Linked DNA regions of Oryzias latipes. The protein of the gene in region 3 interacts with the protein of the main gene of each other region in a pairwise test. Links are inferred from orthologs where the notes say so. Each region holds a gene or a part of one and is shown on either strand. Other genes may lie near its edges. The genes, in order: pfdn1, traf3ip1 and immt.

Region 1 (4,178 bases), on a different chromosome or scaffold from region 3:
ACCCAGGCGATTTTCGCTGACGATGAGCCAAGCGAACATGCAATTTCATTCCCTGACTTTAGATGGCGCTTAATGTAAAACAGAAATACCCCTGTACACAAGGTGGCGCTGCGCAACTTTACGCTTCTTAAAGTCGCTTTTCACTCAGAAGAAGAGAGCAAGTATTTACGCGCTTGTCAGAATCAAACAAAGAAAACATGAATATTTCCAGCACCAGTAGCTCCAGTTCCAGCAATGAAGAAATTATTGTTCTGTTGAATGATGTGTTGCACCGAGTAAAGACTGATAACTGCCGTAAAGCAAGTCAAAGTTTTATTAACACAGGATCATTATTTGCAGTACAATACCTTTATACCGATGACACCACAGCAAACGATGAAAGACGCTGGAAAAGACGCAGATTTTGGGTACATCCCATAGTTACGAGAAGAGAAGAACATGGGGAGTTTTATCGACTGGTACGAGAGCTAAAAATGTATCATGAGCGTTTTCGGGGATATTTTAGAATGTCCGTCATTATTTCTTTGCGGCAGTGTAGATTCCACTTGGCGTCTTATCTTCTTCGCTGGTATGTGTGCTCAGAAAGGCAGTTTTGTGTTTGAGCGCCCCCAAGTTGTGTTTTACTGTAACTTCAGAAGCTCCAGACACGTGTCCAAAAGCCCCATTCTCATTAGTCGTATAGTTTTTGCCGCGTGGCGCCAAACCAAAAAAACGAACCCGAGGCATTTTTTATAAAGTGACGCTTTGAAGCGTGGCGTTTTTTCACGTCGGTGTGCACACTCACATTGGTGCCCTTTGTTTAGTCATGAGGCGTTAAACATCGGCGAATATCGCGCGCGAAATTCGTCCCGGTGTGTACGGGCCTTAACTGGCCACCTCTGCCACGAATCTCGTTCAGTGTGAACGCACCTTAAATGTAACCATAACACTAAACTTAACCTTTCCTCTGGGTCCGGGTGTTCAAGAATTAAGTTTTGCACTGGCCACAAGTATTTGGAAAATGACGTGTGAATAGTGCTATGCAAGTGTATTCAACAATTTTTACAATTTCTGGGACTGTCTATCGGTCTTCACTCAGGCAAGACGCAGCTTGCAGATAGGGGGAATCGAGGGCGGAGCTAATCAGCACCAATAGCCACGCCCATGTAGAGGAGTTCTTGGAAACACGCTTCAGATAAACATGACATTTTAAAGACATTTGGCTTGTGGAATTTTAGTTAAAAAAAACGTCGTAATTGTAACTAAAACACCACTGGGAACGTTTTTATTTTTTTTAAAAAAAAGGTCACGGGGAGTTTAAATAGATCATCGTTACTGGGAGGGGCTGTGGGCAAACTTGATGCTGCCACAAAATAAGCCCGAAGAAGACAATCTTGCGCATGCGCACTCGAAATCTACTCTAAAGATGGCGGCGCCCGTGGACCTGGAACTAAAAAAGGTGTGTAGTTTACAGGACGCCGAACACATCATATGTCTGACGCACGTGGTTGCGCATACTCTCCGATATTGGGTTACAGGCAGCTACCGCTGGTAGTTATTAGTGTGACCCATACCGCATTCAGTGGTGCACGCGGAAGGTTCACGAAATTCGGCTGACCGGTCACTTCACTAGTAACAAACATGTGAACCGGACCATTGTGTACCTGCACCGAATCTTTGAACCCCTTAGAGCAAAATGAGTTTTGAGGTTGCCCCCCCCCCCCCATCTCTTTGAAACGGCCGAGCATCCTTTCTGATCGGGTGGACCATATTCCAATCCCACAATCCTTTGCGGTATTAACACTGAGACAAAAGATGATGGGGTTTGAGGAAACCAGATTATGACAAACATGCTTGTAAATGTTAAAGTCCAGTTTTCCATCTTTCAGTGTCGTGGATTATTTTAGGTCAGATGTCGTTTTTTTTTTTTACCTCCTTTATGCAAACATTTAAATGGTCCAGGTTTATATCTTCATAGACTACCTTCATGTAGCAGATCGCTTTGCTTGTTAACTGATTTACAGGAGAGGCAGTGTTTCATTTTTCTGTTTGACTTCCTGAATCAAGCCAGAGAAAAGGAAGAGATGGGAGAAATAGTGAAACTCTGATTCTCTCCTGGTTTCCTTTTCGACTTTGAACAGAGCGATACTTCCTGTCTCTGCAGGCATTCGCCGAGCTACAGCTGAAGATGATTGACACACAGCAGAAGGTGAAGCTGGCCGACCTCCAGATTGATCAGCTGACTCGAGTTCAGAAACATGCCAAGCTCACAAGCACAGAGATCTCCTCGCTGCCGGAAAACACGCGCCTGTACGAGGGCGTCGGCCGAATGTAAGTGTGCTCTCCTGTAATCAATGCCAACTCACCAAAGAACACAGATGAGTTAGACACATCTGAAAAACATGAAACCAGTCTGGTTTTTCCATCAAATGTCTGGTTCTGCTTTGGAAATCTCAGTGTCACACGGTTCTACTGCAGTTGTGAAACCATGTGCCTCTTATTTTGAAAACTTTACATTTATTTTAAGGAGATCTCCACCAGATTCACATAAATTTCTTTTTGGAGAGGTTTTGATTGGCCTCATTGATGCTACTGAGGCTCCATGAGAGTTCCAGACAGAGGAATTCTGTCTGACCTGATTGACTTTATGAACTTCACATCCAGTCAACACTTTTATACACAAGTTTGAAGAGGATGTGCGTTTAGCAACTGATCTGCACAAACACTGAGCTACATAAGGGTTAATGGCCAACAAAGTGTGCTTTATCAGCATTAATGCACTTTATGCGTTAATGCTGATAGCACTCTTGCCTCGGAGCAAGAAGGCCACTGGTTCAAGTCCCGGCTGGGGGACCTGAAACAGAACATCAATGGGGGACCTTTCTGCATTGAGTTTGCATGTTCTCCTCGTGCATGCATGGGTTTTCTCCGGGGTCTCCAGCTTCCTCCCACCGTCCAAAAAGATGCTCCATAGGTTAATTGGCAACTCTAAATTGTCCATAGGTGTGAATGTGAGTGTGAATGGGTGTGTGACTGTGACCCTGCGGCAGACTGGCGACCTGTCCAGGGTGTCCTCTGCCTTCACCCATAAGTGGCCGGGATAGGCTCCGGCAGCCCCGTGACTCCGAAAGGGAACAAACGGAAGAAAATGAATGAATGAATGCACTTTGTGGAAGCAACCGTCCTCCGCAGTTGCTTCCATAAAGTGCATTAATTTCTGATTGTGCCCACTTTGACAGCCGTTAATCCGCTGCTACCATGATTACTTACAAAAGAAATAAATATATAACCAGTTTTTAGGCCTTTCATTCTAACATTTTTATGGTTCCAATCTCTTTTTTTTCTCTTCACAAAAAGTCGACTATTTGTTACGTGTCACGGTAACATAACGCGCTGCTTAGCCCCACTGACCTCGACTGCTGCGGCAAAGGAAAGCAATATATATGCTGATCGTCACCACGGGTTAAATAAAGCATCAGTTCAGAGAGAAAGTTTACCTCTTTTAGTCCAGATGATGAGGCTGAAGTTTGTTTTAAAGAAGCCAGTGCAGTGATACAGAACAGTTAAGCTATGTGCCCGGAACTTCTTTTTTAGGCGTACATTATCACCGTGGATTATCACTTTAATGCACACCCAGCAGCCAATCAGAATCGAGTATTCACCCGGACCATGGTATAAAGAAACGTTAATGTCTGAATGCTGCCTTTAGGTTCATCTGCCCTGCCGATCCTATAGATGACAGAAAACTGTTGTTTCAGGTTCATTCTTCAGTCCAGGGAGAAGATCAACAACCTGCTGACAGACAAACAGAAAACCGTGGACGAGAAGATCAAGGAGCTTGAGGTGCGAGTGCCTGCTCCATCACAGCTCGCAGTGCATGTTTGCGGGTTTCTGACTGTTGCTGCCCGTTTGTGGTCTCTTGCAGCAGAAGAAGGTGTACTTGGAGCGCAGCGTGAAGGAGGCTGAAGACAACATCAGAGAGATGCTGCTGTCCAGAAGAGCTCCGTAATCCGTTTTTTTTCTGTGCCACGTGATCCCAATAAAGCCCCTCCCACCCCTCTGTGTTGGTGTGAAGTGTCTCCTAAAGGTCTGTGAGGACCATGTAGGTTTGAAGGAGAGATGAGGGTCAACCAAACTGCAGTGGGGGTCAGTGACTGGGACACAACAGCAGAAGGAACCTCCACGGGCCTTCAGACTGG
Region 2 (3,650 bases), on a different chromosome or scaffold from region 3:
TAAACTTCTATATCTATATATAAAATGAAGGGAATATCTGTAGGAAAACATGGATGATAAATAGAACATCTTACTCAAGTAAAAAAATATAAAAACGAATATATTTAACATTACATATAAACATACATTATTAAAATAAATATATATATGTATTAAAGTAAATGTTGTACATTTTTGCATATAGTAAATAATTCCAATAAGGATAATTTTAAACTTAACTATTCTACATAACTTTAGCATAAACAAATTGTAACATTGTGTAGCACATTTTTTGGTTTGTTCATGTTCTGCTGACTTATTTAATAACTAATCTGTTCTAATTATTATTATTTTGCACAAATGCTTTTTGTTCTGAAAAGTAACAGAAGACCAGGTCGACCTTGTGTAGCTGAAATATGTCTGCGCCATCTGCGCAGTCTGCGCCGTCTGCGCATGGCGTAAGAGAACACCCAGGCTGAAAGAGAAGCTCTTTGGTGACAGGCTCTGGCTCTGAGAAGGTTTTCTGAGGTGTTAAAACTCTAGTCGGCTGTTGGCACATGAGCCTGTAGTAGTGCTTATCCTTAGTAAGTGGGACTCACTTCAGTTTTGCCTGAATTCTGCCAAATTCCACCAACAGAAAGCTGCACTCAAGCAAGTTTCAGATCAAGCATCGTTGAAATCATTTATCTGACCATCTAGAAATGTATTTTTCACTTATTTGTTTTATCATTTTTTTATTTTTAAATTGATGAGAACTGATTATTGTTACCAAACATTTGTAATTTTTCAGGGTTGCTGTTTCTCTGTGAACAGAGAGCTCTCATCCAAACCTGCATTTTACAACTTTTCAAATAGTGGATTTATGTTAGAGTGAGGCTGGAGGAAAAGTGGAAAAAATGGATCCCCGTTCATGTGATTTGTGAAGTAATGTATCCTCCTGGGACATCATTTGGTGCCTCACATCAAAGAGACAAAAATTGGACCCACTTGTGTTTTTTTTCCCCATTTTCTTTTTCATTTAATTTCAACCATTAAGAGTCTTTTGTGCAGGACCATTACTTAGATCCTATCTTGAATATGTAGCATTAAATTACAGATTGTACCCAAAAAAAAGCAAAGTAGAGACGCTCTTACAGTTAGGTGACATGAAAGTACTTTTTAGTTTAGCATTTTCTAGAAAACCTAAAAGGATGGAGTGAATAATCTTTAACTAATTGTGCTTTTTTGCAGATTTGTCCTATTAGTTTTTGGAAGCATGAATTTCTGCCGTCTCACAAAACAAAAAGGTTTTCCGTAAACGTTTTTAAAATATGCCTTTTGATTTCCGTCTTACAAAGAGGAGCAATTTTTAAATTGCTGGTTCCTCTTATGTATAATTGTTATTTAATGGTCACAACATTCACTGGTAAACTAGAAAGTGGTGCTTACAAAAATAAAAAATAAAAAAGGGAGAACCCTTGAATTCCTTCTTTTTCCAGATATGTTTTTGTACTCACCTTTCTGGTGATCCTTTTCTTTTTTCAGGGCAAAGAAGCAAGAATGTCTTTCCTCCAGAAAGCCATAGACGTTGTGGCGTTGGTAAGTGGCGAGCCGTTAACGGCAAAGCCTGCACGAATAGTTGCTGGGCACGAACCGGAGAAAACCAACGAGCTGCTGCAGGCCATCGGCAGATGCTGCCTCAACAAGGTCAGTGTCACTGAAAGATCACACACAGAAAAAAAAACACGAGAAAAGACATTTTTTATGATTGCTTAATGTTAACTCAGTTACTCCGGAGACCAAACTGTTGTGTGAAAACTCAAAAACCTAAATCTATTTTTCACATTCATTAGATTAACAACACTCTGTAGGAAATGGTTGTTTAGCTTCAGGAAAAACCTGGAAAGCTTTAATTGTACCCTGGAGATGGGAGGAAACGGATGAACTGATGCTCTGGGACTTCTTCCTCTAAACAATATGGAAACAGTTATTGGCAACATAAAAACGTCTCACAACTTACAGATACGTATGTGACAAACGTGATTATCGATCTGGAGGTTTCTCCCTTGTGGAGAAATATTGTAAAGTGAGTGAAAAATAGTAGCGAGTCAGATCAGTTCGACAAAAGCTAAGCATCTCAGGTTTGATTTGTCACAGGAGTGGAATTCTATTTTCGTTTTATCTTTTTGCAGTTATCCAGTGATGAAGCAGTGAAGCAAGTGCTCTCAAGAGGAAAGGTGGACCCAAAAACCAAGATTGGCACATCCCAGGACAAATCCCAGGACAAATCCCGAGAGAAATCCCAGGACAAGAGGCACAGGGAGGAGCGCAGCCATGGTCTAGATAGAGATGTGAGTTCTCAGTACAGATGCCCTCTTTTTTTGTTTTTGTTTAATCAGTTGTTTGTTTTTCTGTGTATTTTTTGTCTATGTTCTTTTTCACTTCAACCATTTCAGGGGAAGAAAAGATTAACCGAGCGCAGCAGCAGTCGAGAAGAGAAAGACACAGTGAAGCCCAAAGATCAGCAGCTCAAGGGCGAGCAGAAGGAGCGCCGGCGTGACCGTGACCACTCTGACAGGCGCCATCGCAGCGACCAAAAGCCCGCAGCAGAAAGAGAAAAGAGTCGAGACCAGGAGCAAGAACGCCACAATGGACGCGCTCGGGACAAGGAGAAGGAGCAGGACAGAACAAGAGATCGGCAAAGAGACAAAGACAGAGATTCTCACAGAGACCGGGACAAAGGAAAGCACAAGGAAAAAGACAGAGAGCGACAAAACGGCAAAGGGGAGCAGAACAAACGTGCAGAAAGTGGGGATAAAAGGGTACAAAACTTCACTTCCCTTAATGTCTGATTATATATTAGTAGCAAAGAATGGTAGATATTATACAGATGCTTTTGTGTTCAGACCAGAGAGCCAGAAGAACCGGAGCAGAAACCCAGTTCTGATGAGATCAACAGTCAAACAGCCAAAACGGGGACACCGGTAAGTTTATCATTTAGTATAATTAGGAAGCTAATCTGCACAATTTTAGGATTTATTAAATATAAATGAATTTTTCTATTGTTGTAACTCGTGTTTTTGCAAGGAACCAAATCCTGATGAAGAGGTAATGAAACCCTAGAAAACAGTTCTGCCTCTAAAAGTCCCACTCCAATCATCTATGGGTCTAATTTCAAAGCTTTCCTAGTGAATTTAGCTTTGTATTTTATAACTGATTTTAGGTTTTCTACCTAAAAGCACGTTGAGATACCTGCGTTGTAATATTATATAAATAACATCTTATTGAATAGAGCTGAATTAATTATGATTACAGGCTTAATCAAAATGCTGGTGTCACTTTCTAGGGTCTGCAGAGCAGCAGCTCATTAGAAATTCACCCCCGAGTTGTGGGCGGGATTATTGGCGTAAACCGCATAAGCCCGCCACCCTTCTATTTACATGCTCTCCCACTACCTTACAGCTTCACCCACTCCTAACAAAAAAATGACCGGTGAAGCAAAAATGGCGAAGAATATTGGCGCTTTCCAGTTCTTAAAGTTTTGAGCCAAATGCCAGTTCAGACGAGGGAAACCAAATCGTTTATGGATCTGTTTGTCCATCTTTGTGGAGCGGGGGGGGGCTTATGGCGACCTGGTGTAGCTTTTCCTGCTACAGGCTTCTTCCAACGGCACTTTTTCATCTGCTCCTGAT
Region 3 (3,650 bases):
ACTAGTCCAACTATTTTTGTTTGATTTTTTCTGTGCTGCCGCTGACAAAAGGAATTTCCCCATCGTGGGATTAACAAAGTCTTCTATTCTATTCGCTGTGAATTGGGTCTACTGATGATTTAACTGCGGATCAGTCTAAGGCGGGGCTTAGACTCACCGCTTATGGTTCCAGACCCGCAACAAACTAACAGCTGCTTCCTAAAACTTAATAATAAGTAACAACTAATGATATTCTTCCTCCATACAATTTATATAATTTATTGGGTTTACTGGATTTAAAAAAAAATAAAGAAACAGAAAGGAGTCCGTATCAAAGTGAATTTGTTTCCATCATCTCACTTAACTTAATTTAACTCTGGGTGTTTGACAGACAGAAGTCCATTCAAGGTTGTCGAAAATGGACAAAAGATCAAAGGAAACATCACGCTCATAAAGAATAAAAATACTTAAATACATATCCTGTCTGGAACTTTCTCATGTATAAAGTAAAATGTTTTGTTAAAAAAACAATGTCGTTGCAAAATGAGGAAATAAAACACTTTGTTCTTAATTTGTTATTTGTATATTTATTTATTTTTCTTCCTCATAAAGTATCGATAAGAATGTAGTTAAAATACCGGATCGATAAGCAGTATCGATAAGAGTAGTAGTACCGTTACAACCTTAACGATACCCATCCCTATTTGCCACTGTGCACTTTTTGTTTCAACTTAACATAAATTATAAATCCTCCAATTTATGCTGAAGTTTGACTTTATTACTATTAAAAACTTTCAGGGAAATCTTTATTTCACTTAAAACAAAACTAAAAAATTGCTGCTGAGCCTGTTGCTCCCTGCACTTCTAGGAGGAGCTATGTCTTTGGTTGTTTATTTACCGGTACTTGTTTTTTGAAATAAACTAATTGTTTGTGTTTGTATTCTTCTAAATTGTAAAATATTGTCACCTTTACTGCAAATAAATATCGCCTCCAAATACTGATTACCTGCCTCCTTGAGTAATAATGTGTCCTCTAGCCTGAGACCGGGTTAGAGGCAGAGAGAGCAGAGCAGCTGCTAACCTGAGCCACGACTCTGTCCAGGTCCACCACCATCTTATGCAGGTTCTCTTCAGCTGCCAGGACCAGCGGGCGGACGGCGGCCACCTTCAGGTCTTTGGAGCCGTTGATGGTGGCCCTCAGACCATCCAGAGCTTCCCTGCAGGGACGAAAACACAGCTTCAGGGGACGGCGGCGCTCTGTGAGCGGCGGAAGGACACGTGCACACGCCTGAGTGCACGCTAGGAAACGAGGGGAATGTAAAAACAGTCCGACAGCTGGAGATGTTCTGCTGTTCTGAGGCCCAGAACGGCAGAGGAGTGCTGCTAAAGAGCTCAGGAACCAGCAGACAGCAGAGGTGACCTGAGGTCAACAGGGTGACATGTTTTCGGGGTGGGGGTAACTTGCTTGGCTTTCTGAAGGGCAGCTGTCGCGTCCGTCACAGCAGAGGTCCGGTCCATCAGAGCAGCTTCTAGATCCTTCCACTGGACGGACTTCTCCTCGGGAGGACTCTGCTGGGAACAGAGTGTCAGGTCACTGAACTCCTCCCTCTAACGAGCCAATCACATTCCAGAATGTTCCACTGCTGTTGCACCTTCTGTTAATCAATAATCCACATTCGTTTTCAAACCTCTATACCGTAATTCAATCTGAATAAAATCAAACCTCATCATGACAGGTTTTATTTTTGAAATGCTAATTTCCTCTCAGCCCTCCATAAAAAAAAGATGACAGACATTTTCTGTCATCTTTGGAAAAGCCGTGACAAATTTAAAATCCAGAGTTTATACTAAGAAGCTTTTGTCTACTCTTTTTTTATGTTGCTGCTGGAAGCTTGATTGGAAATGTTTATGGAGCATTTTTGTGTGTAATTTTGCTGTTAAAAAGCAAAATAATAGTCTCTGCTAAAATATTTAGTTGCTTTCATTTTAAATTACTCTCTAGAATCCTTTTAATTTATTATTATAAACAAACCTGAGCTTCCATTAACAAAATGATTCATTTCCTTATTTAAAAACTCACAAAAAAAAAAACAAGAAATCTCCCAAATGAATCAGGAATCCATTATCCAAGTAACGATGGACTCCTTTTTTTTTTTTGGGTGGTCTTCCATGACACTGACCACAGGCCCCAGGCCGCTGAGGCCATGGCAGTACCTCTGCTTCCATGGCCTCCTTCAGCTTCTGCGTGTGCTGGTTGATGGCCTGCAGCGCCGCCTCCTGGGCTCCGATGGCCTGCAGCGCTGCTCTGGCTGAACAGGCCAGAGATTCCTCCAGACTGCTGGACACCGCTGGAGAACGGCAAACATCAGACAACCGGCATGAGCCTCACGGTTCTGTTGGAAACTGTCACAAGTCGGGCGTCTGCTGAAGACCCCTCCCACACTGAGGAGACAGTTGAGGTTCTGCCTCAGAGAAATCAGGTTCTCGCGTCAAACCTGCTAAAACGTTCTGCTCATCCTGGTCCTGTTGGGCCAGACGGGCCGACACCTCCTCGGCCGGACGCTCCACCAGCTGTTCTGTGGACCCGGCGGGCGAATCGGCGCCGCTGTGGGCCGCCTCTGAGCCAACGTGGTGACACTCGTCGCAGTGCTCTGAAAAAGAGAGCGCACGCTGAAGAGCGTGCACGTGGACCACTGATAACAGCAGCAGTCAGCCCCCCCTCCACAACTATTTACTGCTAACAGTGACCCTGCTAATGGTAACCATCAACGAGTAACAACTCCCCTAGCCCTGCAGTAATCTGATTACTCTACACATGTTCCTGCTGGGTGATTTACCTGTGACCGCTGTGGGTTGGGTGTCAAACGGCGCCGGGACTGAAGGGACGTCGCTGCTGGCAGAGATGATCTGGGTGGCCTCGGCTGAAGCTCCTGGAGGAACAGACAAGGAGAAGATGAAGGTGGAGTGGACCGGTCGTGGAGAAGGACCTAAAGGTCTGACACAAACTCATCCTGAGCTCAGGATCTGTCCTTCAGTGGAACATGGTGTGTGTGAAAGGACAGGCTAGGATCTTCTCTGTCCTCTAAATCCTTGTTTTTCAACCTTTTTTGAGCCACGGCACACTTTAACCATGACAAAATCCTGCAGCACACCAGCATCCAAAAATGACAAAAAAAGAGAAACTCATAGTCTGTATTGATCTACAGCACCTCCACAATCACACGTGCATTTTTGTGATGATTGTGGCAGAAAAGCTGGAAGCTGCAGCTGTTTTTTCTAAAAGATGTAATAAAAGTTAAGTTAGAAGATTTAAAAACTGTTTGATGTGTGTTCGTTGTGGTTTCAAGACGTTAAGAGGAGAGACTCATTGTACGCTGAGATGCTGTCACTCTAACCCAATGCATTATGGGTGATGTAGTGATGTCAGACAGACTCACTTCTCTGAGCTTCATTGTTTTGTTCACCTGTTCCACGGTCTGATACCAGATTCTGTGGAAAGCTACACCGCTAAAGACGAGCTTTAGCTGGAATTTTTGTTAGAACTGAGAGACTTTAGGAGCAGAATCAGAACAAGGAAGTGAAGAGTTTAACCACTTCTGATTGGTCAGACTGATGACATTTGATTAAGCCTCCAAGAATGATTGGTGGAGACAGTTAAAGGGGCGGGACTT

What was found.
Region 1: the proteins of immt (region 3) and pfdn1 interact in a two-hybrid assay, tested with the Homo sapiens proteins (2 studies listed by BioGRID and IntAct). The link is inferred for Oryzias latipes from reciprocal best matches to the Homo sapiens genes IMMT and PFDN1.
Region 2: the proteins of immt (region 3) and traf3ip1 interact in a two-hybrid assay, tested with the Homo sapiens proteins (2 studies listed by BioGRID and IntAct). The link is inferred for Oryzias latipes from reciprocal best matches to the Homo sapiens genes IMMT and TRAF3IP1.

Annotation. Positions count from the first base shown.
Region 1 is NC_019872.2:23,090,079-23,094,256, forward strand, and holds pfdn1 (prefoldin subunit 1), read left to right. Parts: upstream 1-1,273; 5' UTR 1,274-1,339; coding exon 1,340-1,438; intron 1,439-2,143; coding exon 2,144-2,310; intron 2,311-3,737; coding exon 3,738-3,822; intron 3,823-3,904; coding exon 3,905-3,988; 3' UTR 3,989-4,041; downstream 4,042-4,178. UniProt on the Homo sapiens protein: Binds specifically to cytosolic chaperonin (c-CPN) and transfers target proteins to it. Binds to nascent polypeptide chain and promotes folding in an environment in which there are many competing pathways for nonnative proteins.
Region 2 is NC_019879.2:26,421,901-26,425,550, reverse strand, and holds part of traf3ip1 (TRAF3-interacting protein 1), read left to right. Parts: intron 1-1,503; coding exon 1,504-1,665; intron 1,666-2,150; coding exon 2,151-2,309; intron 2,310-2,414; coding exon 2,415-2,780; intron 2,781-2,864; coding exon 2,865-2,942; intron 2,943-3,045; coding exon 3,046-3,066; intron 3,067-3,650.
Region 3 is NC_019868.2:4,710,537-4,714,186, reverse strand, and holds part of immt (MICOS complex subunit MIC60), read right to left. Parts: intron 2,910-3,650; coding exon 2,817-2,909; intron 2,631-2,816; coding exon 2,475-2,630; intron 2,328-2,474; coding exon 2,194-2,327; intron 1,552-2,193; coding exon 1,445-1,551; intron 1,197-1,444; coding exon 1,061-1,196; intron 1-1,060. UniProt on the Homo sapiens protein: Component of the MICOS complex, a large protein complex of the mitochondrial inner membrane that plays crucial roles in the maintenance of crista junctions, inner membrane architecture, and formation of contact sites to the outer membrane.